Rattus norvegicus: one gene and its partners. Each later gene encodes a partner of the first gene's protein in a complex. Links are inferred from orthologs where the notes say so. Each region holds a gene or a part of one and is shown on either strand. Other genes may lie near its edges. The genes, in order: Snrnp200, Usp39, Prpf6, Cwc27, Lsm2, Rbmx2 and Snrnp40.

Region 1 (4,040 bases):
CCTAGCAAGCGCAAGGCCCTGGGTTCGGTCCCCAGCTCCGAAAAAAAGAAAAGAAAAAAAAAAAAAAAAAAAAAAAAAAAAAAACTCCTCTATGCCCTTCCTCTTTCCTCCTCGGTGGCCTCACCTGATCCCCGAGAGCAGCCTGGATGAAACTGAGCAGCACCTCATAGGTCTCCCGGGTCTCCTTCGTCTTGGGCTTATAGATGATGCCCACCATCTCATCAATGCCCTCTGACAGCAGAGTATAGCCTTTCATCTTGTTGATGTCGTGTCGGTCCTCATCACGTTTTCTCCTCCTAAAGGACAGAAAACATGAGGCTGAATGGGAGGACTTTCCATTCCCGAGCAAAGCTTACCCTTTCTATACATCTACTCTGTGAAGGCAGGAAAATGAGTGAAAAAAAATAGCTCCTACCAGACCTTAATTATTTGAAGAAGCACTTCTTTATGTCCCACATTTATGGGATACTTCATATGGGACATTCTTATAGAAAGAAAATATAACATCATCTGATAAGCTGTTACAATGAAACACGGTCTCCATTACCTTTAAATGTACACCTTTTTATAACCATATGAGGAGACTATGTAATATTATTTATAACCACATGAGGTGACTATGTAATATTATTTATAACCACATGAGGAGACTATGTAATATTATTTACTTTTATAACCACATGAGGAAACTATGGAATATTATTTCCTTTTTTTTTAGCCTTAGCTACACCCATCACATTTTAGTAGTAAGAGAAACTAGGCTCCAGTGGAATCTACTTCTAATGACACCCAATAAATAACTAGAAAAGATGTCAGGCTCTGGAAACTGAAAGACCAATATTTGAGCTCTTCTAAAACAACCACTCAAACCAAACAGGGCCAAGAAGAGATGGCTCAATGGTTAAGAGCACTAACTTCTTTTCCAGAGGTCCTTAGTTCAATTCCGAGCAATATATGGTGGCTTATAACCCTCTGTAATGGGATCCAATGCTCTCTTCTGGTGTGTCTGGAGACAGCTACAGTCTTTTTTTTTTTTTTTTTTTTTCGGAGCTGGGGACCGAACCCAGGGCCTTGCGCTTCCTAGGTAAGCGCTCTACCACTGAGCTAAATCCCCAGCCCAGCTACAATCTTAAGATAGCTACAGTATACTCATATACATAAAATAAATCTTTAAAAAAAGAGATAGAGAAAAAGAGAGAAAACACATTTTTTTGGAAGGTGGAGGCACATGACTTTAATCTCAGTGCTCGGGAAACAGATGCTGATGGATCTGAGTTTAAGGCCAGCCTGGTCTATAGATGGAGATACCCTGTCTTGAAGGAAGGAAGGAAGGAAAGAAGGAAGGAAGGAAGGCAGGCAGACAAGCAGGCAGGCAGGCAAAACAAAGTAGTATTTAACTTTTGAAATGAATCCACCAACATGAAAAGCTGACAGAAATCATCAGGAAGTGATAGGCAACAAAAGAAGAAAGGTTGGGGAGAAAAGTTTCTAACAATGTGGTGGAGCTGAATTACTGAGAGATTAACTAGAGGCCTGAAATAGTAGGAGCTGAATTACTCAGAGGAGATTAACTAGAGCCCTGAAATAGTCAGATAGCCAACTGGAGAGAAGGCTCAAGTAGTCTGACGCCAATACTGCTTTCTAAGAGGACCCAAGTTCAGTTTTCAGACTCATATTGGGTAGCTCAGAACCTCCCGTAATTCAAGTTCCAAGGGATCTCAAACCATCTTCTGGCCTTCACATAGGCATTTGCATGCATGTGCACAACACCCCCACCCCATACACACACACACACACACACACACACACACACACACACACACACACACTGAAGAAAATTAACATCTATGAATAGGAAATATGTCAGTAAAAGGTATCAATAGATTTTGTTCCACTTCATTACACCTAAGTTCAAAGAAGTTTTAAACCTTGAAGAGGTTTCTGCTATGTTGCACACACATCACTGATCTTCCATACAAACTTCAGCAAAACTACTGCTCTAATGCTAAAGATGGGCTTTACATTAGCTGAAAAAAAAAAAAAAAAAGCATCCCCTTGGTACTTACTTGGCCCGTCTTTCCTCCTGCATCTGTGGTTTGGTCCTTTGAGCCTTATCTCCCATTCGAGTTCCCTCCAATTTCCCAACCAGGGACAGAACCTCTCCTGTCGGTTCATCCCGGCGGGTCCGGTCAATGAGAGAGCGGTCAGCTTGGAGCACAAGATTTGAGTTCTGAAAAGATCATACTTTATCAAAACTTTGACATATGGTTTTTGAATCCTGTTATTACAGTGACACCAGAAAATGGAAAAACATTGGAATAAAAGAATAATGCTCTTAAGAATAGTATGTCATTGCACTATGCATGAGCACTGTACTATCTGATAAGGTGAACGACCAGCGTTCCTAACAACATCCACAATAGCCCACATTTGGGAAAAATGTTGGGCAGATCAGGGGTAACGAGGAGACAGTTTAGCGGGGGGAGGGGGGGACGGGACTCCTAAATTCTCACGTCCCTCAATCTCCACTAAGGATATTCCGTCGTGTTTTAATACATCCTTCACCCAGCTCTCATTTCCCCATCAGTGTTCGTGACTATCCACGACTTCCCTTGCCCGCAATCCTACTCCGAGACCACACGTACCGCTTTGTACTCGTACTGCAAACTGCGGGCAGTCACATCCGCCATGGCTGCCGGTGCTCCGGGAACTCAGGGTTCCACTCTTCCTCACGGTGCGAACCGCCTGTGCAAACCGCTCTGGCCCAACAGGTACCACGCAGGACAAACGTACGGGACGGAGAAACGAAACGGACTTCCTTCCGGTTCCGGGACGCACGATAAAAGTGAGACTTTCCGGCTATTACGCAAGACTTCTGGGCGGAGTTTGTGGACGATAGTACATCCGGGTCACGAATTCCATTGACCGACTAGGCACACGCGCGTGCGAACTATGGTTCCACACATCTATAGGTACTACAGAGCCAAGGCTGAACCCCCGAAAAGTATGATGTTAAAAGTCCCTTTCTGTAATACTTTTGGTTTCTCATACCAGCCGTTCTGTGAGGCAGGCAGCAGGCTTGCAAGGAATGGAAACTAAAGAGCTCCATTTCTGGACAAGGAAGCTGAAGGTTCAAGCAAGTTGGCATGTCTAGTAACTAACTGGATTTCTCTTCTGTATTGAGAAATTGGGGTAACGCTCGCTGTCCTATTGAACTCATCTTAGACTCGTTTCCGTAAGACTCTCCCCTGTGTCAGCTAACTGACAGTAGAGGAAAAAATATTTGTGCTCAATCATCTGACACAGCCTGTGTCAGGATTTTAGGTGTGCACAATCGTGCAGATTACAGCATATAATTTTGTCCTCAATGTGGCACGAACGTTTTACTAAAGAAATATATGAAAAATAAGTTATGTGTATAGAAATACTATTCAGATTTATTAAGCAATAGTGGTACCTTTTATGTAAAGGTAGTATTTAGTCTTTTAATAATTCTCTACACAACACTGAAAGCAAAACAGCGAGTTCTACTTTTCTTTTATGTTTAATAAGCACGAGTGAACCTTAAGCCTGTGTCTTAATCCATCGAGCCATTTTGCTGACTTTTTTATTATTTGGTTTATCATTTACATTTTATTCTTTGTATCTGGGTGTTTTGGCTTACATGTATCTTTGTGTCTCATGTACACGCAGACCTCCAAGATGCCCAGAAGAGGGTGATAGATTCCCTTAGACTGGAGCTACAGATAGGTTATGAGTTGCCATGTGCGTGGTGGGATTGGAACCCAGGTCTTCTCAAAGAGCAGCCAGTGTTCATACCCATTAAGCCATCTCTTTAGCTCTTGTCTGGTTTTTGAGAGAAGATCTTCTGTAGTCCAGGAGGCTTCAAACTTGCTATCCAGAGACTTCTCTTGCCCTCTCGATCCTCCTGCCTCCAACTCATAGACACTATGGCTGCAGCCCTGGGTTGCTGTGACCAGCTTGTATCTTATCATATTTAATAGCAGCATGGTAACCCTAGGTTGGACCCATTTACTTTT
Region 2 (4,300 bases), on another chromosome or scaffold:
CCTTTGAGCAACTTCCAGTGATATTTGCAAGAGACATGTTCATCTTGTTCTTAACTTTCTAGTGTAATTATGCTAGAGAGAGAGAGAAAGAGAAGTTAAAATCCTGATTGACAGCTCCCCTAACACACACACACACACACACACACAGTGCACACACATACCCACCCAGGGTCTGTTGGAAGCTTGGAGGCTTTCTTGGTGTTGTTTTTCTGATAGTTTCTGTGGGCAGGGGTTTTAGCAGCATCCCCCTCTTCCCTCTCATTCTGGTTTGCCCTTACAGATGGCTCTACCCACCCAGTGAACCCAGACTGTGAGGAGTCCAGTGAGAGCAGCAGTAGTGGAAACTCTGAGCTGGAGCCTCCTGGTCGCCAGCTCTTCTGTTTAGAATATGAAGCGGACAGTGGAGAGGTCACATCAGTTATTGTATATCAGGTACGCCTTCCGGAAACAGCTGCATCTTGACGGTCCTGGGCCATGATGGAAACTACCACTAGTTCCTGAGCCGCTGTTAATCTCAGGGCCAGTGGAAAACGTGTCTTCCTGTCAGGTATTCTCAGCACAGAGATTCCTAATTGGGGGAACAGGGAAAACTTGTGACCCGCAGTTGAGAATCACTGTTACAGGGGATTCCTGAGAAATGACAAGCCTTAAGCCAAACAGTTCTGTGAGAATGCTGTCTAGGAATAGGGCAGCACTTTTCTGAGAGACCAGGCTCTGAGCTTCCTGACTCTTCCTCCACGTAGGACGATGATCCCGGAAGGGTGAGTGAGGAAGTATCAGCACACACACCTCTGGATCCAGCCATGCGAGAGGCCCTCAGATTGCGCATCCAGGAGGAACTTGCAAAGCGCCAGAGCCGACACTGATGGGGTTGAAGGGCAGGATTCACTGCACTTGGCAGAATTTTGCCCAAGGAGCTCACCTCTAGTTTGGGGGGTGCCAGGATGAATCCATGTGATCTTCAGGGATAATGTCCTCCTCTAAGCTGCTGTATCCACAAGGGTCTTGCAGGACCACATCCGACCTACCTCTCAGCAGCTATTCTCTCTTATCTCATCTAACCTAACATTCTGGAATTTTGGCTTTGGCTAACGGTGTTTTGGGGGCAGAGACTTCAGGGAGAGCCAGGCTTTCTGAAGCCTTTGCCCGTGTGCTGTTGTCTTGGTGAGGTTATTTGTCAGGCTCCTTCGTGTTTCTGCTTTCTTCCACTCATCTTTCCCCAGGCCTGTTTTCAGTCATCACTTTTCGTTTCTCCTAGCTTTCTGCCTTGGGTAGAGTCCATTTCTACCCCCCCCCCCCACCCGCAACATGACTGTTTTTCTGCCACTCAGGAATTTAGAAGTGGGGCTTCTGGAAGCCTGCCTTCCTTGACAAGTTCTCCAAGTAATTCTGATGCCAATAAAACAGGAGAGCTTTGGTTTTGAGGCCTATTTGGAAACACATCTCCTTCCCCTTCTGTGGCCTTCCCAAGCTACTCATGCCTCACTGCTTTGCACTGTCTGTGTAGACTGCATAGGAGACCCAGGAAGAAGGTGCTGTGCTAAGTTGCTGTCCTTTGTTGAAAACCTGTCCTGCTAAGCATGGGTGGCACATGCCTTTAATCCCGGTACTCAGGAGGTAGAGACAGGTGGATCTCTGTGAGTTCAAGGCCAGCCTGGTCTACATACCAGCACATCTAGTGGCAGGACAGACAGTGGTAGAAAGAACCTATCTCAAAACAACAACAACAACAAGAAAGGTTTAAAAAAGTAAAACCTGCCTTGGCTAGGCTTACCAAATTCACCTCCTAGCTGTGAACAGACTACCTTCTGCTCAGACTAAAGGGGAATTATCAAAGCAGATGCTCCAATTGTGGTTTAGCAATCTTGAGTTATTGAAGTTGGGAGAGTTGACAATAGCTATAATTGTCCTGAGGTGGGAGGGCCCCAGTTTCAAAAAGGAGTTGAGAAGAACATCATCAAGAAAGTGAAATGACCCTTTCTCTGCTCCATGCTTTCTTCTCTCATACCTCCCAAGAATATGTCTGAGCATGATGACGCACGCTTTAACCTTACCAGCATGGAAGAGGCCAGAGTATGAGACTGCCTAAGTTAAAGACCAACCTGAGCTGTCTCGAGAGAAAACTAAGTAAATGTACCTTAGGTCCTTTGGGTAAAGATCCCCAGACAGAGCATTTTTCCAGCAGGGGACATGTTTTCCAACACTAGCTTAGGCTAACTAAGGTCTGAAGTCCATAAGACATCCTGTGCACGGGAATTCAGGGCTACCTAAGACTTCTGACATACGAGCCTAACTTCAGCAACCTGAAACATGAGTCATAAAACAGCCCACAGCCGAACCTCCTACCCCGGGCGTTTGTCTTCTAGGGTCTCAAGATCATTCTAACTGTAGGAGTTCAGTAGCTTGTCTCTTCTGGGACACCTGGGGTCCCTGCTGTGTTTTATCCCCTTCTGCTGAAAACATGTAATGTAGCGGGCATCGGCTTTATGCATTAAAAGAGTGACTCACAGCTTGCTGTGCCAGAGCTCTGGGGCATTGGGTGAGGTGGTGAGTTAGAAGGGCCTAGTCCAGAAGTAGCTGGGGACCTGAATGCTCTAGACCAGGAGAGCTGGTCCCAGAGCTCAGTGCCTTAAGCTTGAGTCCTGATCTCAGTCTGCTGTCAGGGAAACGCCTTCACCCAGTACTTGTGCACTAGTGCTGAAAGTGCCTGTGGCCTTACTTGGTTAGATACCATCCAGAGCCTTCGGGGTGAAGGAGGGTCTGCCACACTCCATGCTCTTCATCCTCCAGTTAATCAGTCCATATTCTGACTTAAAACACAGGATTCACTGGAACTCTGGCTGGACAAAGAACATTGGAATCTCTTTGGGGTCTGTGTTCTTAGAGCTATGCTTCCTATATCCTGATTCTGTTATTGTACACCTGTTAAAAACACCTGAAGAAGAATCTGAGGACCAGCACCTACAAATTTGCCGTTATTCCCACTTCTTGATGAAGGACAAAATAGATACAGTGTTCTGTAGAGGCCGTTCATGTGTTCATATGGTCCTCACAAAGACCCTGCGCAGAAAGGAGACGGATGGAAACTTCTCTAAGCTCCTTTTCCAGAAGCACTTTGCTTATCAGTATGTATGAAAGATTTTCTAGCTAAGAAAGCACTCTTGATTCTTAGCTAATTTGTCCTGTATGACTACCTAAAGCCCCAGACTTGTGCCCAAATGAAATGGTCATTCTGAGCCAGCCTGTGAGAGCTGATATTTTCTAGGCACCCCTAAAATGTCTCTTAGGGGCCACCCTCAGCCTTATGGCATAGCTTTGTTGCTCTGCTGGCCTATTCTGGGGTCCGTAGTAATGTCCAGTTTACTTGGCAACCCTGCTTCCAGATGCTTCTCTTACCTATTTCAAAATTCACAGGCCATAGTGAGTTCTCAGAACTGCCCAATGTTACAGCACAGCATGCCATAGGCAGGACTTAACAGCAAACTGCCCCAGAATCAACATTCATTTGAGTAGATAAGTTCTTAACTGTCTTTTTTGGGGGAAGGGGGTATGGGGTCAGGAGGCTGAGCCAGGTATGATGGTACATGCTGGTAATCCCAGCATTTGAAAGGCTGAGATAAAAGGATTGCCCTATAGCCAGGCATAGTGGCACATACCATTAATCCCAGCACTTGGGAGGCAGAGATAAGGTCTCCTGAGGCCAGCCTTATCTACAAAGCAAGTTCAGGACAGCTACAAGTACATAGAGAAACCCTGTCTCAAACCCTACCCCGATTATTTAAGAAAAAAAAAAGACTGCTATGAGTTCGATGCCAGCGTGAGCTACATAAACCTTGTATCAAACAAAAAGTCTCATTCCCATTCTCTATGGAATGTTTTTTCCCCTTAGTTCTTAACTAGAGTTAAGCCTGTATTTTACAGTTTTGTGATTCCTGGACCAAGTGTGTATTATTCATGAGAGAGAGAATTGGTTTTTGCAAGGGGGTTTGTGCTGTGCAAGAATAAATGATAAAGCCGGGGTTGTAGCCCCCTGGCAAGCGTGACTCTGAAGAGTGCAAAGAAGGGAAAAATGTAAAAGTGTATACGATGAGAGTAAAGTGTATGCTGGCTGCAGTCTAGCCAGCAGGTGTGGATCTAGAGGAAATGTGAAAGAACATTCCATCTCTCTGGTCGTGGGTGTACTGCCAACTGGAGAGCAGCCCAGATAGGTGGAAGCTCTTTGGGGTGGTGAGTGTCCAACCTGCTGTGTTTAACAAGACCTGTGTCAGGGTGGTGCTTCCTAGATAACTCAAATTTAAGT
Region 3 (2,870 bases), about 54 Mb from region 1:
TGCTAGGAGATCACTGGACAGATGGCATTGCAGATGAACCATGGTTAATCATTTCTATACTCCAAGACAACGGATTGCAGCAGGACATTCCCACGGTCACTAAACTCAAAGGGTCTGAGTTCTGCTAACACAATGAGTGCAAGCCTCTGGGCTCTCTGGGCAGTGACGGTGACATCGTTAGTCCCAGCCCTCAGGAGGTAGAAGCAGGCAGATCTCTGAGTTTGAGGCCAGCCTGGTCTACAAAATGAGTTCTAGAACAGTCAGAATACCTAGAGAAACTGTCTCAAACAAACAAACAAACAAACAAACAAAACCAAACAAACAAAACAAACTCTAGGATAAAGCCCTTTAGTCAAATGGGCTTGGTTTAATACTTAAATTCTGTGTGGACCAATATCAACAAATCTGTCTTGCATGTAATTCAGGCTCCATGTGGTAATGAAACAAAGGAAACAGCCCATCAGAAGCCTGGGGCTGAGGATGAGCCAAAGAACCCAGGAGGCCTGTGAAGAGGGAGTGACCAGACAGATGTCTAGACAGCACCTCAGTCTAGACAGCACCTCAAGCCTCTAGCAGACAGCGCTGCCCAGAGGACTGAAGCAGGAGTTCTGGCAGCTGAGGCCCATGTAGCTCATCCTGTATAAACAAAGTCAGCATAGCCAGGCAAAGATGCTGGCAAAACTATGCCAGAATCCCAAGTAATCCCAAAAGAACTATTACTCACTTAGCCACAGCTAAAAGCACATGGGGGTCATGTTCACACTTCTTCAGGGCATCCACACTCTTGGTCTTTCTCTGGGGCCTTGCCTCAAGGAAGACAGCTTCAGACCACAGGATACCTGGAATTCACAAGCAAGAATCTACCCTCAGCCCCACTCTGGCTTCAGAAATGCACCCTCTTCTTTAGGCTACCCCAAAAGGGTACACTGAGGGCAACCACAAGGGTCTCGATATCCACCTACCCAGTCACCTGAATTACACCAGCCTTGCCAGAATGGAATTGGACAGTGTTGGATGAGAGCTGCAAGCTTTCATTCTCACTGTGTCAGCAAACAGGCAGTGGGCAATGAAAGCACTGTCACACCCGCTGCTAAACATAAAGATGGCAGCCAGGGGCTGGGCGCACAGCTTTGATCCCAGCACATTTCCTCTACGCCTCTATGCAGAGGCAGAAAGATCTTGGTGAGCTGGAGGCCAGTCTGGTCTATAAAGTAAGCTCTAGAACAATACTCAGGACTGTTACACAGAGAAAACTTATCTAAAAAAAGAAAAAAGAAAAGGAAAAGGCAAAACAACTACCACTACTAGCACAACAACAACAACAACCTCAGTCATGCAGAGGTTGTCAGCTGTAATTTTAGCACTCGGGAAGTGGAATCAGAGAGTGGAGGATCCCAGCCTTTACATACTGTGTCTGAGGCCATTATGGGCTAAACCAAACAAACACAAAGTACTATTCTAAATGCCTAGTGTAACCTTACCTCTGTACAGTAACACAGAAATAATACAAACACAAAGAGCAGAGATTCCTGAGTAGTAGGTTAGAGCAATCTCTATTATCCTCTTTTAAAACTCAAATTTCTTCAAGTGACACATGCATGTCTTCTTTTTGTTTCAAGACAGGGTTTTTCTGTGTAATGGCTCTGGCTGTTCTGGAACACATTTTGTAGACTAGGCCAGTCTTGTACTCAGAAATCTGTCTCTGCCTCTTGAGTGCTAGGATTAAAGGTATGTGACACCACTGCCTGACTACATTTCTTATATACCACATGTAAGAAAAATAATAAAAGTTAAAACTTGTCTTAAGGGGCTGGAGAGAGCCGCTGGAGCCAGCGGTTAAGAGCACTGGCTGCTCTTCCAGGGGTCCTGAGTTCAATTCCCAGCAACCACACGGTGGCTCACAACCATCTGTGATGGGATTTGATGCCCTCTTCTGGCCTGCAGGTGTACATGCAGATAGAGTACACACACACACACACACACACACACACACACAGACACACACCAATAACAGCTTAGAAAAATGACAGTGCCTCAGAACATGAAATCAAACTACACACACACACACACACACACACACACACACACACACACACACACACACACACCAATAACAGCTTAGAAAAATGACAGTGCCTCAGAACATGAAATCAAACTCCCCCATACTGAAACTGAGGGTTTATTCTGAAGTCTTTGTAACCACATCAGCGAGGCTAGACTGAAATGGGACATACAGGTTGTATCTCAAAGGAGTTCCTGGAAATCAACTGATCCTATCCCACAGAAGATTTCCTCGGTGCCATACTACGTGGCCAGGAGTCCTTACCAGAGTTAGGGCACTCCTGCAGCGCCTTGGCCATGAGGGTATTGGCAATATTCTTCAGCCCTGCCCGGTACTCCAGCCGCACTGACTCCAACCTAGGAAAAGAGGTCCAGAGATGGGACATCCCCATTATCATAGCGTAGCCAACTACTCTAGCTGGCCTTCTGCCAGAGACCCTTTTAAAAGGCTTTTACATTTTTACTTTATTATCACTGTCATGTTATATGTGGAAGTCAGAGGACCACTTCTGGAAACGTCTTCAAACTCAGATTGTCAAATTTGCTCAGCAAGCACTCTTTCCCCACTCCAGTAAAGGAGGCTCTTGTCTCTTAGAAGGGGGTAGAATCCCACTCTCTACAGATGGCAGCACTGGTGTCCACAGCCTGTCAGCAGGCAGCAGCCCCACCTGAGATCCCAGAGTCCATAGGAAACAGACACAAGTGAAGATAAGGGAACAGGCACAGACCATACAGGCAGGCACCTAAGAACAACCCCTCAGCAGTGTCCTCTCACATCCCAGCCTAACCTCTGGCTGGACTCTGCATCC
Region 4 (2,689 bases), on another chromosome or scaffold:
ACATTTTCTGGTTGGCAGTACTTCCTGAAGCAATGGAACTGTTAGAAGTCAGCGTTCTCACACTACATGGCATAATCCAATGCTGTGATCAGTCATTAAAGCTGGAACAAGCCATGTATCATTAATAACACATACCAATGTGAATGTGGTTTACCTCATTTAAATATCGTGTAGGTCACCTGTGTGTCACTGGCACACATCAACACAGCCTTCTGAAGTAGGAGAGAAGGAGGGGCGATGGCCATGTGCTACTGCGTCTCCAGAGTGACAGTGTGTGTAATACTTTCTCTCCCTCCCAAATCCCCTCGAGAATCTTCGAAATCTGAACGGCCTTTTCCATACAAATAAATGTCACTCTTCCACAGGGAGAAGGACAGCTGAGACTCCTGAGAGTGCCAACTGCCCAAATCCCTGCTGACACAAAGCAAAGCAAGCAGCAGCATGCGAGCCGAGCCGAGGGGAGGAGCTTTGCTCAGTGCCAGCGCTGACCTAGCAAGGGGTGTATGCACGGTTCTATTCCTGTCTGCTGTCATGACGGAAATGCAGATTTAAGATGCACTAATATGCTGATTGGATTGTTTATTAATTAGCTAGTAGAAAATTCATATCACTTGTTTACTTATGCAAAAACTGAGTCTTCCTCTTCCCTAACTCAGCAAGTTGCTCTGATGCCTTGTCTTTTGACCCCTGCCCCGCCCCCCTTAATCTCTGATGCCTCACCATGGGGGCACAGCTAATCACTGGCATAGTTCCTGCTGCCAAGGCTAGCTCGCTTATGAGCACTTAGGAATCAAGCACATGCTGGTACTCTAAGACCAGTAAGCGTTTGTTAAAGTAGCAAGGCAGGGTTGTGAGATTTGCTGTAGTCAACAGTAAGAGGAGAAAGTTAGTTCATGGAGGTACGCCAGAAATGTCGTTCCTCTCTGCATAGAAAAACTCAGCCCCTTCCGGAAGACAGCCACAACCCCACTTGAACATGACTTTCAGTTACTTTTAAACTTGTGTTTGTGGATGTAGATTTCCGTTCTGTTTGTCCCTACTTGTTTGGTTTTCATTAATTTGCTAATGGTGCTGGAGATTGAACCCAGGGCCTTATGTCTGCAAGGCAAATGCTCTCCTTTGAGGCACACCAGCCCTAGCATTTAAAGGTTGGGTTTTGTTGCTGCTGCTTTGTTTTGTTTTGTTTTGTTTTGTTTTGTTTCTAATGTGACCCTTGCTTTTGACCCTTTGAACCACTCAAAACACAAACATCCGACAGGTCTGGCTGTTGGCTGGCAGCTGGCTCCTCAGCTGGCTCCCTGTGCTTGAGTGTGCTCTTCAAAGAAAGAAGGCCAAGTTCCAAATATGGGTTTAGGAGACTCCAGGGTAGAGACCATAGCCTCCTACCAGGGGAGGAACTCAAGATGGACTTAGGAGCAGACTCCTGGAAGGCTGAGGAGTAGAGCAGCCACTCCAGGCAAGCTTTCCAGACTTTGCTTTGTTTCTGTTAGGCAGTCCTTGCTAGGCCAGCACTGGGCCACTGAGCAAAGCTCCTCCCCGCAGCTCTGTTTTCTGTGGGACTGCTTTCCAGGTGGATGAGCACTGCCTGCCTTCCTATGCCAGAGGGAGTGGGGTACAAAGTGTCAATGTTGGGTCCCAGCCTGAATTCACCAGACCATCCATCTTTTCTCTTTAGGATGTCCCACGTGCTCCAGTTTGAAGACAAGACCCGGAAGGTGAAAGACGCAAGCATGCAGGACTCAGACACGTTTGAGATCTATGATCCCCGGAATCCAGTGAACAAAAGAAGGAGGGAGGAAAGCAAAAAACTGCTGAGAGAGAAAAAGGAAAGGCGGTGAGCGGAGCCGTGATGCCGGAAGCGGTGGCGCCTGCCAGGAATGTCGTGTGGGAAATGTGTCAGGGCCTGTGTTCTGGTGTTCAGAAAACAGGTATCTCCTTTTGTAAATTTGAAATGATGTAAGCAAATGCTTTTGGTTACTGATAATTGACCTTTTATATTACTAAATCTGAAATAAAACCAGTTTCTTTCTAGTTTAAATGTTAAGTTTGCAGATTGCATAGACCTGTCTGTCTATGCCCCCTACCCTGAGATGTGTGAAGGAGCCTTGTTCAGATTTTTATAAGAGAAACTCACAGAAAGAATAAGGGAAACTTCCCTGATACTTTAATATAAAATCAAAATTATAAAATAAAAACATTAACATTGATGCTTTTTTTTGCATATAAACATATAAAAATAGCCAGGCCAGTAGGACTGACTCCTGCTTTAATTCATGAGGAGCCCACAGGCCAGTTAATATTCACTCTGCGAGCCCAGTGCCTGGATGCTAAGAGTGCTTCAAGACAGTAGCACTCTACTGCATGCTCTCCAAACACCACAGCCTGATGCTGGGCCCCCTGCTGCTCCCGCCCTCGTCAGCTCGCCAACATCAGGAGCAAGTGGGTGCACAGAGTCCAGCACCAGTAGAACTCATCAAGAATCTAGCCTTTGATACACTCATTCACACTAGGTATTTCTGTTCCCTATATTTAGTTCTGAACTCTGCATGCTAAAATTGTACACCAGACAGACTTGCTTCAGTCACCTAATAAAACCTCACCAGGCACATCTCTTCAGAAGAAGTAATGAAATCGGCTTCCTCTTCCTAAGGCCGGCTCTTCAGCGCGATCCCAGGTGCAGCACTGGCAG
Region 5 (4,300 bases), on another chromosome or scaffold:
GGGAGCAAAGAGGAGAGAAGCATTCATTTATGCTGGAATCAGCAGAGGGAAAATCAGAACTACAGTGACAAGGGGGGAGGAACTCTAGGCCCTGAAGCCAGCAGGCAGCCCCTGTAAGTTCTGAGGTGGAAATGATAAAGCACCTCAGACTCAGTCTGTCCTCACACCAACACATCAGAAGCTCGTAGTCAGGCCGGGCCTATGCTCCATTTAATATTAGTATTTCCACTTTAAGACAGGTTCTCACTTGGCCCAGGCTGGCCTCCAACTTCTGGCATTCCTACCTCCACTTCTGAAGTTCTAGAACTACAGCTAGGAGCACTACTCATGGCCATTGCCCACTGGGTTTCCCTGTGGGGTTCTAGAACTAGCTCTGTAGATAAGGCAGGCTTCAAACTCCCCCCTGCCCCTGCCCTTGCCCCTGCCTCCTGAGGGCTAGGTTTAAAGGTTTAAGGGATGAACAGCCATCAACCACTCAGCTAATCACCTTTCAAAGTAGTATCATCCAGGACTTATGAGAGGTCATGTAAGGTACCAAAACTTACACAAATGAACTGGAATGTCAGCCCTGATCTGCACGACTCCCAGAAACATCCATTATTTTTAAATACTGATTTTTACTATTTGTGTGTATGTGCATGTAGTTACCCACAGAGACCAGAAGAGGGCATCAGATCCATTGAAGCCAGAGTTCTAAGGAGTTGTATTCAGCCCAACAAACTGTTGTCAATCACCTAATGTAGCTGCCGGGAACTGAACTCTATTTCTCTGGAAGAGCAGCAAGCTCTTTTTAAAGCACCAAGCCATCTCTGCAGCTCCAATAGCTGTTACTTGTAAACATTTATGCTTTGGAGCCAGAGACCTACATATACATGGCAGCTGAAATTAACTATTATTAATGCTACACTCCCCCACCCTCTAGTCCTGAGTACAGTTATCAAAGCCACTGCTCCCACACCATGTTACCCATCTTATATTTACCCACTGCACGGAGGTGCAGAGGAATTAAAATTTTAATTAACAACCCCAGATCCTGCATTTTACTTCTTCACTCTCTACATTCTACGAACCCCCACTGCTCTGTGGAAGAACACTTGTGTGGTCTGACTTTTAGACTAGAAAAAGTCTTAGCTACTCTCCACCCCGGCCTGGGCCAGCCTCTCACTTGCCCACACTGGCCATAACCATCCTGCTTGTCAACACCACGTTCTGTCTTAGAATCAAGGCTCTCAAGCACTGACCTGTGCTCAAAGGTTTCAAGAGTCTACAAATAAAAGGATTTTAAAAAGAAACACGAGGGCTGGAAATGAAGTTCACCTGTTGAGCATGCCCATCCAGTACATGAAAAAAAAAATAGACATCAGTGACACCTATAATTTTCTAAGCACTATTAAGAAAGTAGACTCTAGAATTAGGGATTTAGCTCAGTGGTAGAGCGCTTGCCTAGCAAGCGCAAGGCCCTGGGTTCAGTACCCAGCCCCGAACAAAAGAAAAGAAAAAAGAAAGAAAGAAAGAAAGAAAGAAAGAAAGAAAGAAAGAAAGAAAGTAAGTAGACTCTAGGGGCTGGAGAGATGGCTCAATGGTTAAGAGCACTGACTGCTCTTCCAGAGGTCCAGAGTTCAATCCCAGCAACCACATGGTGGCTCACAACCAACTATAATGAGATCTGATGCCCTCTTTTGGTGTTTCTGAAGTCAGCTACAATGTACTTATGTATAATAAACAAACAAACAAACAAAAAAAGAAAGTAGACTCTAATGGATGATGTGACAAGAAGCCATAAACATCTTTCCAGTGATACAGCATTTAATCCACTCCTGAATGGTTAAGAGCAAATGATACAGCAGGGCAAATCCTAGCACTCAGGAGACAGAGGCAGGCGGATCTGTGTGTTCCGGGACATCCAGGACTGCACATACATGTTACTTAACTGTATCTCACTGTGTAACTCTGGCTGGCCCTGGACATATGTAGACCAAACTGTCCTTGAATTCACAATTCTGCATCAGCGTTGGGATTACACGCATGTGCCACAGCACCAGGCTCACTCTTAAACTAATCTTTACACTCAAGACACAAGATATTTCTTCTGTGTTTTGCCCCTCTGCTCTAAAATAGCTTTGTGAACAACAACCACGAAAACGATCAGGACACCAGGCACCTCCCACCTTCCACCAACTCGCTGAAATAAAGACCTACCTCAGATCATTCTTGAGTTCCACGACTACATCCTTGCCCACAAGGGACTTGAAAAAGGAGTAGAAGAGCTATTGGAAAAGAGGGAGGAACTATCACATGAAAAGGGACAGGGAGGAGGAACCCGTGACGGCATTTGAAATACCAGTCCTTTTGGCCCCACCTAGTAGTTCTCAAAATTTCACCACCATCAACAATCCGTTAACAGAGACTGCAATTCCTGGGGCCACAGAGAGACAATAACTGCGCTGCACCCCTCGATGCCAGAACCCACTCTCCGAATCGACCACCTCCCTGCTCGAGACCGCTTCCCAACCGCACCCTCACAAAATCCTGATCTCCAGCACGGAAATGCAAGACTAGCTTTCCGTTCTCCCCCGGCGCCCGTGGGCTTTCTCTTGGACTTGCTGGAAGTTTCCCCAAAAAAACCATTGGTTCCAAGCAGTCTCCTCACACAGGGTGTGGGCCCTGAGGTTGTAAGGAAAACCCTAGGGCTTAGCTACAGCCCAAGGCAACAAACACTAGAGCGCAACCAAGACCCGAACAGTTCGAACCGCCCGCCGCGGGCGGCGGCGCTCCCTTTTGACGTCACGGTACCCACCATGGTGCTGGCGCCACGAGGGGCGGCCTGGACCGCGAAGGAAGGCGCCGGGGACTGCGGGCCGGAGGCAGGGCGGGAGCCGGAGCACGAGCCCGCGCGTGAGGCAGGACAGGATCACGCAGGCGCAAGGGGAACCGCGAAAACCGCGGCTGAATCTGGGCTCAAAGGGAGCGGAGTAGGGCAGAGCAGAGAGGACCGCCAAACCGGGAGGAGGGCGGGACTTCCTGTCTCCCACTTCCTCCCAAGGAACTCCTCCCTCCCGAGCGCGTGCGTGGGCCATAGCAGCTGCGCGTTGGATGTAGTTCGCCTCCCTGATAATTTTTTAGATTCTTCTCTGTGCCGGGTGACTTGCTCATACTCTACGCTTTCTACTGAGAATTATTGGGAAGATTGAGAAAATTATGACTTGCATATTCTTTTAAAAAAGATTGAGTTATTATATATAAGTACATTGTAGCTGTCTTCTGACACACCAGGAGAGGGCATCAGATCCCATTACAGATGGTTGTGAGCCACCGTGTGGTTTCTGGGATTTGAACACAGGACCTCTGGAAGAGCAGTCAGTGCTCTTAACCGCTGAGCCATCTCTCCAGCCGTATTATTTTTACTAGTAATTAAATGGGAAGTTGCTAGGTTATAGCTTCTGTAGATATCATGTCTGGATAAATAGGAAAACACTTGCTATTTTGTCTTCTCGAGGCTGGCTGTTGGTGCAAGGCAGTCATGGTACACAGGTGAGAATTCTGAGAGACTAGGCCTGCTGATTGCATGATACCAAAAAAGTCGGTTTCCTGGGGGTCTGGGTGAAGCTTGGAGCATGCCTGCCTGTGTAGGCCAGAGATGAATGCTGGCTGTTCTTTCCACTTACTTAATATTTTAAAATTTTATATGTGTGAGTTTTTCCTTGCACGTATATCTGTGTACCACATGTGCAGTGTTCCCAGACACTAAAAGAGTGTGTTGGATCCTCTGGAGTTATAGTTGTTAGCCACCATACGGGTGCTGGGAATCAAACCCTGGTCCTGCCGAAGAGCAACATATGTCCTTAACGACTTAGCCATCTCATTTTCTGAGACAGGATCTGCCACTGATCCTGGAATGGACAGGTTCATTCAGCTAGACTGACTTGCCAGCAAGACCCTAAGATGTGTCTTCCCTCTCTGTCCTACCTACCCCACTCCACCTGTGCACATCACTGTGTTCAGAGCTGGATCCATCATGATTACCAAGCAAGATGTTACCGAGTTTCAACAGAAACTTTAACACCTGAATCTAAAAGAGGCTGTCACTGGTTAGAAGCAGTCAGTACATTTAGCAGCTGCTTCCTATGGGCTCAGGGTGCCTGAGAATTAGAAAATATTTTTCCTGGCAGGTGTAACGTTCTGTAATTCCAGTCATGTAGGCAGCATGAACGAAAGACATTTGAGGCAGACCTGCCTCAAAACCAAAAAAAAAATTGTTGGATATGCTCAACTTACACAAATTCAAGTACTTTGCCCTTAT
Region 6 (4,282 bases), on another chromosome or scaffold:
AGAGAAGGGGCAATACTGCATCTTCCTGAATGCCTGTCTGTTCCAATGTAAGCCCATGCAGAACGAAGCTCAGTAAAAATGACAGAAACGGACTAAAGTCCCTCAGACAGACTCTCAAATGATCCAAGCTTTGGGATCTCCCATGTGGTAATTCTCTGGAACCTTATCTAACCTGGGACTGAGCTAGACTCTAGCCTTCCCCATGCATGGATGTCATTCAGCCTAGAATTAAATGGTTTTCATGGCTTTTTGAGGCAGGGTCTCACTCCAAGTGATCTTCCTACCTCAGCCTCTTATAGAGGTGTACAACTCCACACCCAGCTTGAAATGCTTTGTTGCTGTTACAAAAATACTCTATGGAAGCAAACTGTTCTATGCACCCAGGAGATAGGTAACAACAGAGGACTTACTGTGAGAACACACAGATGATGTCTCCTTCTGTCAGTTCATAAGGAAGCCCTCCTAGAAGAAAACAAACACTTGGGTTCAACAAACATTAAGCAAGTGTTTACTGCATGCTAGGCACTGGAGGTACAGATTAAACAAGCCACAATCTCAAATATATCAGTCTAATCCAATGATAGAATGAGTGGGTATAGTGACAGTAGTCCGGAAGGAAAGTAATTAACTCTCAGATCTCTGTGAGTTCCAGGCAAGCCTGGTCTACACAGTGGTTTCATAGTAAAACTCTGCCTCAAAGAAAGAGAGAAAGAAAGGAAGAAAGAGGGAGAGGGAGGTACAGAGGGAGGGAGGGGGGAAGAGAGAGAGAGAGAAAAGGAGGGAAGGAGGGAAGGAGGGAGGGAAGAAGGAAGGGAGGGAGAGAGAGAAAAAAAGGAGAAAAGGAAGGGAAAGGAGGGAAAGAAAAGAAGAGAAGAGAAAGAGAAAAAAATAGTAACTCTGAGTGGAAAGGCTGGGGTCATCACTCACCAAATTAATTTTATCTTTGAATCCTCACATCCAAAAATCCTATAAAGCAGGTGATTTCCTGCACAAGACTCAATCTCATAAACAGCAAGTTTAAGTATACTATTATTACCCTCACTTATGTGCAAGCTAAGATTTATAAGGGATAATATTAAGCATTTCATAGGAAACAATTTCCCCTCCCTCCATGTTTTCCCTCAAGTGTAAAAATGGGATGGTATCATATTTGCCTCACAGGAGTGTTAGAGAAATAAAGTAAAATGAGGAATATAAAGTGCTTAACACAATACCTATTACAACAGCCTCTTTCCAAAGGTAAACTGCAGGATTTTGGTTGGGACATAAAGTGAATACAGGATAATAATATTGTCACCAGAGAGTTAAGAGTTCCCCTTTTACAAAGGCTAGTAATGTCTTATCTTGATAATATAATTCTAAAGCAGACTAAGGAGGAAGCTTGAGGTCCATTTTATTAGCATTTGAGAGAGAGCTGATAGGGAAGCAAGTTGTAAGCTTCAGCAGCTACTGGGATGAAGGAGCTGCAGAAGAAGCAGCCATGCCTTCTGAATTAGCGGTCAAGCAAGCAGCAATGCACAGAGATGGAGGTAGAGGAGTGGTTCAAGGGGATAGGAGAGCCTTTAGATTTGGAATGAGACAGTCCAAAGTGTTCCGGGCAAGCATGTTCAGGATTCCAGCCAGCATCCAGAGAATGGACAGAAAGGGAGGGCAGGGGATAAGTGAGAACTCAGAATAACAGGTAGACTTAACACAGAGACCAGTAACAACTGCACTGGGGATCATTTCCCTCCCATGTCCTTAGCGTGTCTTTAGATGACTGAGCTTTCCTGACAGGTGACTCCTGGCCAGAAAATTTAAAGCCTGTTGGATTGTCTTAAGGAAGGGGAACACAAGCATGTAACATTTAGGATTCCTGAAAATGTCCCGGTATCTACCCAGGGCCAGGGGTGTAATCCAGACTGTATTCTTTTCATCAGTAGTTTTCCCTTAATGAACAACAAAGCTCACATCCCTCCACATTTTCAGATAGCCTTTCAAATGTTAAGCAGGAGAAACCCTCAATGTCGTCCAAGCCAGTTAATGTCTGTTCTGGTACCTAACAATACAACAAAGAACTGGGAGAAGCAGCCACTTACAAGAGGAAAATAATTCTGAGAAACGGCAGATAATAGACATGCAATAAGGACTAAGAACACAGCCCTATAGTTTTGAGTGATGCAGCACCTTAAGCAAGCCCAGTAACCCCTGTGCGCCTCAGTTTCCTTGACATCACTATGGGTTGCCTGGGGAGTTAACTGTCTCTAAGCAACCAAGTGGCAAGATTTTTCATATAATGAATGGCAAATACCAATTTCTAAGCAGTATCATAGGGGCCAAGTGAAAAAGGAACCTGTGAGCAGACTAGCTGCAAGAGTGTGAGGTGACGAGCAGCGTGTTCAGAGGTGACGACCAGGGGCGCTAAACAACCAGGAGGAAGGGGGAGGAGGGGAGGGGAGGTACAGACTCTGAAAGGCACTGCTAGAGAAAAATGTAGACCTCACCAAGAAAGATCCAGGCGCTGTCTTTGTATTCCGAGTGCCAAGACACCTTTTCTGCCACCCCAAGTTGAACCTCTCGCTCATTCAGTTCGTTGATCAGCTTCACCTTAGTTAAAGGGCTGTGCGGGAGAAGGGAAAGACGTTTAAGTACATTTCCTCACAGCCCGCCTTCTACGTACCGGTCGTCTCCCGCCCCGAGGCCCTGAAGGCGAGGACCTGTCCCCGCCCTTATGGGCGGCCCTCCTCAATCCATTCTCCCTTCCTCAGAGAAACTCCCTCCCCTGTCCTCAGAGAAACTAAATCCTTACTTCATATTCGCATCTTCGCGCTCCGCTCTTAAGACATCAGCTTCCGGGTGAGGCTCCGAAGCGCGCGCGCAACCCGAACACTCAGCTCAGATTGGAGCCAACGGAAATGGAGGCGGGACTTCCGGCGCGCTAAGCCTCGGCACATGCGCAGTAACGCAAACGCGCTTTCTCACGCTTTTGCTCCAGGGGCGAAATAGTTCCCTAGTTATTCCCTGCTTCCCTTTTTGGTGTAGCTCGAAGGTGGGAACCTGGGCGTTACAGTGGATCCGTGTGCTTCTGCAGTCTGAATTAAATGCCCACAGATTTAAATAACGGATGTGGCCTTTTTCCAGAGGCAGGCAAAAATTAGCATTGTCAAATTAGTACCTAACAATTGAAGAGTTAGAGAATGTAAAGGTTCCAAATGATAGAAAATTTATGCATGTTGTCTCTGTTAGGTCTCAAACCCAGGCTAAGTCTCACACCAGTGGCTGCCCCTACCCTAAACCTCTGCCTCCAAGGGGCTCAGTTTCTGCCATTTTCATTTTTCATTCAATCTCTGTTTCTTTACATACAGGGTTTCTTTGTGTAGCCCTAGCTGTCTTGGACATCGCTCTGTAGACCAAGCTGGCCTCCCAACAACCCCATGAAATACAGTTACCACCCCTACTTTACAGAGGAAAAAAAAACTGAGCTTCAACAAATTAGCTTGAATGTCTAGGGAGGTGGTTCAGTGGTTAAGACCATTTGGTGATTTTTCCAGAGAACCTGTATTCAGATCCCAGCACCCAAAACAAGTGGCTCACAACTCCAACTTCAGAAGATCCATCCTCCTCCTCTGGTTTCTGTGGGCATTTGCACTCCCATGGCATGCACAGATATACATACACATGAGTAAAACTAATAAATCTTTTAAAATTTGCTTAACTTGAAATGTCTTGAGCTTGTACCAATCAGGTCAGGCTAATTTAATCATCCCTTATTGAGCATCTAAATTTGTTCTGTACAGTTGGTCTATAGAAGGAATCTGGAGGACTGGTTTTCTGCATGCATAGAACTAATGGTATAAGGGGAAATCTATATGTACTTGAATACTTCATATCATAATTATCATATAATTAATAATTATTCATATCACAATTATCCAGAAATCAGTATGTAAACAGAAAATAGGAGTTCCTTTTTGTGAGTGTTAGGGTCCAAGAGTAGCAGAAGAATGATACCCCCCAGACTCAAATAGTATACAAAAGCAAAGAGTGTTTATTCAGCAGAATTTCCTGCATGCAAGAGTCTCCCCATTTGGAAATGAAAGCCTAGGTGTGTGCTCTGTAGGGTCAATTTAAAGTCTGTCAGGGTAGGGTGGGTGACATTTACTTTTCTTTCCCTTGATTGGTTGGCTGGTGTGGGTGCTTTTGTGATTGGTTAGGGCTCTGTGGACTTTCCAGGGTGGCAAGGCATCATCTGATTGACTGCCTGCTGCTGTGGCTGGCTGAACACGGGTTCCTAGATCCAGGT
Region 7 (4,006 bases), on another chromosome or scaffold:
TCTGCTCACAGAACTCCTCCTGCCTCTGGATAATCCCGTGGACAGTCCAGCGTATGCCCTATGTGCTCTCTCCTTCCTAAGGCTGTTTTTGTTCCACAGCCAACTTTTGACTGCTTGGTCACATTGAACTCCTTTATGCCTCAGGGTCTTAACAGAGAAAGATGTCTTCTATAGAAGCACTCACCTTATTTTGTGTCTGTTAAGTATTGCCTCCCCAGAGTCTGTCTTTCATCACTCACACTATTTTGAGTGAGGCAGCCCCCCTACCCCTTATTCCACTGGGTCCAGGGCACTCTGTCAAAGCCCCATCACTACCTGAACTTCCTTCTCTTACATCATTGCTCATACCTTTCTTTTTCCCCAAAGAAATGAAGCTCTGGTCGTTCTCCATTTTTCTGTCTCTAGTCCATCCAGTTAGCCTTTGAAAAACCCAGTGGGGTACAGTTTATTATGCAAAATAGATTTTGGGGCATGAGCGGGGTGGGGGGGGTCTTTTTTTTTTTCTTTTTTCTTTTTTTTTGGAGCTGGGGACCGAACCCAGGGCCTTGTGCTCGCTAGGCAAGCGCTCTACCGCTGAGCTAAATCCCCAACCCCGAGCGGGGGTCTTAATATGTAGCCCAGGCTGGTCTTAAAAATTTTCAGTCCTCCTAAGTGCTGGTATGACAAGTGTGTATCACTGTGTCAGGCTTAGCAAAGTAGATTTGATTGTGTGGTCTTGCACACTAAACCTAGGCAACCTTGTCAAATAAGAACCAGTGTATTACCAATAATCCTGAAGTCTCTTTAGTAGATCCCAGTATACTTACTTATTTTTATTATCATGTACTAACTACACCAAGTAATGGGTTTTATTACGAAATATCCATAAATGCAGATAATGTCCCATGGTCATACTCATCCAGTATATTTAGTCACAAAAATGTTACCTGTTGGCTAGAGAGATGGCTCAGAGATGCTCTCCTAAAGGACCCACATTCAGTTCTCAGCATCTTCAATGGGCAACTTTCAAGAGCTGTAACACCAGGTTCTGAGAATCCAACATTCTTTTTTTTTTTTTTTTTTTTAAGATTTACTTATTCATTTATTATATATAAGTACACTGTAGCTGTCTTCAGATACACCAGAAGAGGGTATCGGTTCTCTTTACAGATGGTTGTGGGCCACCATGTGGTTGCTGGGAATTGAACTCAGGACCTCTGGAAGAGCAGTTGGGTTCTCTTAACCGCTGAGCCATCTCTCCAGTCCAGAATCCAACATTCTTTTCTGGCCTCTGAGCCCCAACCCCAGCGCACACACACCTAACATATCTAGGCGCTGGAGAAGACAGCACTTGGTAAAACAATAGACCTTGCATTCTAGTACAAAGTGTGAGAAAGGCAGACAAGCAAACCCAAGTAAAACACCCCCTGTTGTGTGCCATGGGAAGAAACAATATGGGTTCCAGAGTGCAGGACACTTCAACCTAAAATACAGTTGTCAGAAGAGCCCCACTGAAAAGCTAGTATCTGAGCAAAGATTTGAAAGAGTCAATAGTTGACCATGTGGGCATTTACAAGAACATCCCAGCCAATGCACCACAGAAAAAGTAAGAACATATATGTGTGTGTGTGTGTGTGTGTGTGTGTGTGTGTGTCTGGAGCCAAGTGACATGCCAGAAAACTAGTAGATGAACAAGGTAAAGAGGGGAATTATTACAGAGAATTTCCTTTTTTTTTTTAGAAGGCAAGGATCAAGGTTACACAGTTCTCTTTCCTTTCAACAGGATTTTGCCATAATAATAGCTTAGATGCTTGAAGTCCTGGATCTTCCAGCCCCAGTTTCTCAAGTGATGATTATAAATGTGTGTATCCAGCTTTTTTGGGGGGTGGGGTGGGAGTGTCTTTCTATGTTGTACAGGTTGGCTTCCAATTCCTTCCCTTAAAATTTTCTTGTCGGTCTTCTGGAAAGCTGGAACTACAGTCCCACACGCCTTGCTCACTTTATTTGTATATTTTAAAGACCACCGCAAAAGGATTTGGTTAAAGAGTTGGGGCAGGAGTACACCTATTTCCTCATCTGAACGTGTGGCGGGTGTGATTACTATTTTACAAGACATGTAGTTAAAAGCATGGGTTCTGATTCAAAAAAGCTTGCTTTCCCCATTTTGCAAAATAACAGCTGCTTCCAGGCTGTTATCAAGATTAACGGAAATTTCACACGCAAAACATCCAAGAACCAACTAATGTTAATTACTATTATAAATGCAGAGAAAGAAAAAGCTGTACCAGGTAGCAAAGCGAGCCACTATCATTCATTTGCATTGCTTCTCCTCTCATTCATTCATTCGTTCACTCTGCCAACTTTCCTGAATGTTTCTTTTATGCTAAATCCCTGAAGATTTAGGATGCGGAAGCTTGGGTCTTGACTTTGAGGCCAAAGTTTTAAATGATTCAATGCCCCGGAAGGGCTAAAAACAGGCGTCTAACAGGGAAACACGTATGGAGCACACACAGAACACAAGGCACCTTTACAGAGGCCTATTTTAACTTCAGGCTCACTGCTTTTCCGTTCCTGCAGAGCTGATACCATCCGTAGGAAGAGGGGTTGGGGGCCGAAGGGGGGATGCCTCCTCACTTACCGTCTGCAGCAATGCCCCCGGAGTCGCCTGCTGTTGCCCGGCTCCGGGGCCGGATCCTGCGGCTCCCAACAGCAACTCATGTCGCGGCCGCTTGACGGGAACCAGGGGTAGCTCTGGGCCCTTGCGTTTCTGCTGCTCGATCATGGCGGCAACCACTACCCTCGGCGCCGCCAGTAACCGCGCCGCCTGCAGCAGGCGTTGCGCAATTGGTTTCAACTGAGTTCTTCCTCCAGAACTTCCGGAAGAGAGCAACCAATCGATTTCTAACATTTCCTTCTGCAACGCCCTCTGAATACACTCTTGCGATTGGTCTCTTCTTGATGACGTCACGAGAACTCCACTCTGGATTGGGTCGCAGAACTGACGTTCTCCTCCGCCCCCTCAGGCGCGCCGTGCATTGTGGGTGAGAACGAGCGGAGCAGATTCAGTGTTCCTAGGGATGAAGCGGCTGTCCTGTTAGGAGCGGACGCGGAGTGAGTGTGTGGGGAATCAGGCGGGTGGTTGTTACAATTTGGAAGTTACGAGTCAGGCCTGAGCCTACCATTTTCAGCTACCAGCTTTGGCAGCGGGGTGTGGCAGGGGATGTCCTCGGAAAGAGTCCCCGGAAAGAGAAGTCCTTTGGTAGGCTGGAGCAGAGCTTTGGGATCTCTGGATGCAGGACTCGAACTCTCAGGCCGCTATTCATTGACAGCTGCTCTGCAGGATGCCGATTCTGGATCCCACTCTGTGCTGGCCTTCCCAGGCCCGACTCCCGGCCTCCAGGCTTCAGTGCCTGGCTTGGCTGAGGCGGCGGACTTAGTTTTGTCACTGCTTTAGCCGTCTTTTCTAAGGACTTATTTATGTCCCCGAGACAGCCAGCGATAAGGAAAGTATCAGATGGCTCCCCAAAGCACAACTTTATTGAGAAGTCAAATAGTCGTGCTTACGTACCAGGCCTTCTCGAAAGTGGTCCATGGGGTTGGGGATTTAGCTCAGTGGTAGAGCGCTTGCCTAGGAAGCGCAAGGCCCTGGATTCGGTCCCCAGTTCCGAAAAAAAGAACCCCCCCCCCCAAAAAAAAAAAAGAAAGTGGTCCAAATGGTATTTATGATGCAGTGCGTTGGAGGTCATTCTGAAGAAACATGGTCCCCTACCTCAGGGTGTGGGAAACGTGTTAAGCAAATCTCACCAGTTGATCGGAAGACTACCTGAACGAGCGATGCCTCATGCTATGAGTTACTAATAGAAGCTTGAAGGCTTTTCAAAAGAAAAGATGGCTGAGCTGTTCCTATCTGATGGGACAGTTCTAATTATGGGACGAGAGAAAGGGAGAACGTTCTGCACAGAACAGCATGTGCAATGCCCTATCAGTTGGGAAGATGACTGAGACACAGTGGGTCTGAGCGGGTGTG

The links.
Region 2: Snrnp200 (region 1) and Usp39 share a complex: the UniProt entries of both Homo sapiens proteins name them as parts of the U4/U6-U5 tri-snRNP complex. The link is inferred for Rattus norvegicus from reciprocal best matches to the Homo sapiens genes SNRNP200 and USP39.
Region 3: Snrnp200 (region 1) and Prpf6 share a complex: the UniProt entries of both Homo sapiens proteins name them as parts of the U4/U6-U5 tri-snRNP complex. The link is inferred for Rattus norvegicus from reciprocal best matches to the Homo sapiens genes SNRNP200 and PRPF6.
Region 4: Snrnp200 (region 1) and Cwc27 share a complex: the UniProt entries of both Homo sapiens proteins name them as parts of the minor spliceosome. The link is inferred for Rattus norvegicus from reciprocal best matches to the Homo sapiens genes SNRNP200 and CWC27.
Region 5: Snrnp200 (region 1) and Lsm2 share a complex: the UniProt entries of both Homo sapiens proteins name them as parts of the U4/U6-U5 tri-snRNP complex. The link is inferred for Rattus norvegicus from reciprocal best matches to the Homo sapiens genes SNRNP200 and LSM2.
Region 6: Snrnp200 (region 1) and Rbmx2 share a complex: the UniProt entries of both Homo sapiens proteins name them as parts of the minor spliceosome. The link is inferred for Rattus norvegicus from reciprocal best matches to the Homo sapiens genes SNRNP200 and RBMX2.
Region 7: Snrnp200 (region 1) and Snrnp40 share a complex: the UniProt entries of both Homo sapiens proteins name them as parts of the U4/U6-U5 tri-snRNP complex. The link is inferred for Rattus norvegicus from reciprocal best matches to the Homo sapiens genes SNRNP200 and SNRNP40.

Annotation. Positions count from the first base shown.
Region 1 is NC_086021.1:134,880,933-134,884,972, reverse strand, and holds the start of Snrnp200 (U5 small nuclear ribonucleoprotein 200 kDa helicase), read right to left. Parts: upstream 2,801-4,040; 5' UTR 2,691-2,800; coding exon 2,646-2,690; intron 2,231-2,645; coding exon 2,067-2,230; intron 297-2,066; coding exon 125-296; intron 1-124. UniProt on the Homo sapiens protein: Catalyzes the ATP-dependent unwinding of U4/U6 RNA duplices, an essential step in the assembly of a catalytically active spliceosome. Plays a role in pre-mRNA splicing as a core component of precatalytic, catalytic and postcatalytic spliceosomal complexes.
Region 2 is NC_086022.1:105,961,752-105,966,051, forward strand, and holds the start of Usp39 (U4/U6.U5 tri-snRNP-associated protein 2), read right to left. Parts: upstream 2,801-4,300; 5' UTR 2,720-2,800; exon of another isoform or gene 867-2,719; coding exon of another isoform or gene 744-866; intron 433-743; coding exon of another isoform or gene 281-432; exon of another isoform or gene 166-280; intron 1-165. Other genes in the region: C4h2orf68 (UPF0561 protein C2orf68 homolog), read left to right, coding at 281-432, 744-866.
Region 3 is NC_086021.1:189,143,465-189,146,334, reverse strand, and holds part of Prpf6 (pre-mRNA-processing factor 6), read right to left. Parts: intron 2,419-2,870; coding exon 2,327-2,418; intron 840-2,326; coding exon 725-839; intron 1-724. UniProt on the Homo sapiens protein: Involved in pre-mRNA splicing as component of the U4/U6-U5 tri-snRNP complex, one of the building blocks of the spliceosome.
Region 4 is NC_086020.1:37,497,962-37,500,650, reverse strand, and holds the end of Cwc27 (spliceosome-associated protein CWC27 homolog), read left to right. Parts: intron 1-1,675; coding exon 1,676-1,838; 3' UTR 1,839-2,189; downstream 2,190-2,689. UniProt on the Homo sapiens protein: As part of the spliceosome, plays a role in pre-mRNA splicing. Probable inactive PPIase with no peptidyl-prolyl cis-trans isomerase activity. As a component of the minor spliceosome, involved in the splicing of U12-type introns in pre-mRNAs.
Region 5 is NC_086038.1:3,848,866-3,853,165, forward strand, and holds the start of Lsm2 (U6 snRNA-associated Sm-like protein LSm2), read right to left. Parts: upstream 2,801-4,300; coding exon 2,798-2,800; intron 2,629-2,797; coding exon of another isoform or gene 2,518-2,628; intron 2,268-2,517; coding exon 2,200-2,267; intron 1-2,199. UniProt on the Homo sapiens protein: Plays a role in pre-mRNA splicing as component of the U4/U6-U5 tri-snRNP complex that is involved in spliceosome assembly, and as component of the precatalytic spliceosome (spliceosome B complex).
Region 6 is NC_086039.1:132,764,913-132,769,194, reverse strand, and holds the start of Rbmx2 (RNA-binding motif protein, X-linked 2), read right to left. Parts: upstream 2,801-4,282; 5' UTR 2,794-2,800; coding exon 2,789-2,793; intron 2,600-2,788; coding exon 2,484-2,599; intron 463-2,483; coding exon 411-462; intron 1-410. UniProt on the Homo sapiens protein: Involved in pre-mRNA splicing as component of the activated spliceosome. As a component of the minor spliceosome, involved in the splicing of U12-type introns in pre-mRNAs.
Region 7 is NC_086023.1:147,983,584-147,987,589, reverse strand, and holds the start of Snrnp40 (U5 small nuclear ribonucleoprotein 40 kDa protein), read right to left. Parts: upstream 2,801-4,006; 5' UTR 2,762-2,800; coding exon 2,618-2,761; intron 1-2,617. UniProt on the Homo sapiens protein: Required for pre-mRNA splicing as component of the activated spliceosome. Component of the U5 small nuclear ribonucleoprotein (snRNP) complex and the U4/U6-U5 tri-snRNP complex, building blocks of the spliceosome.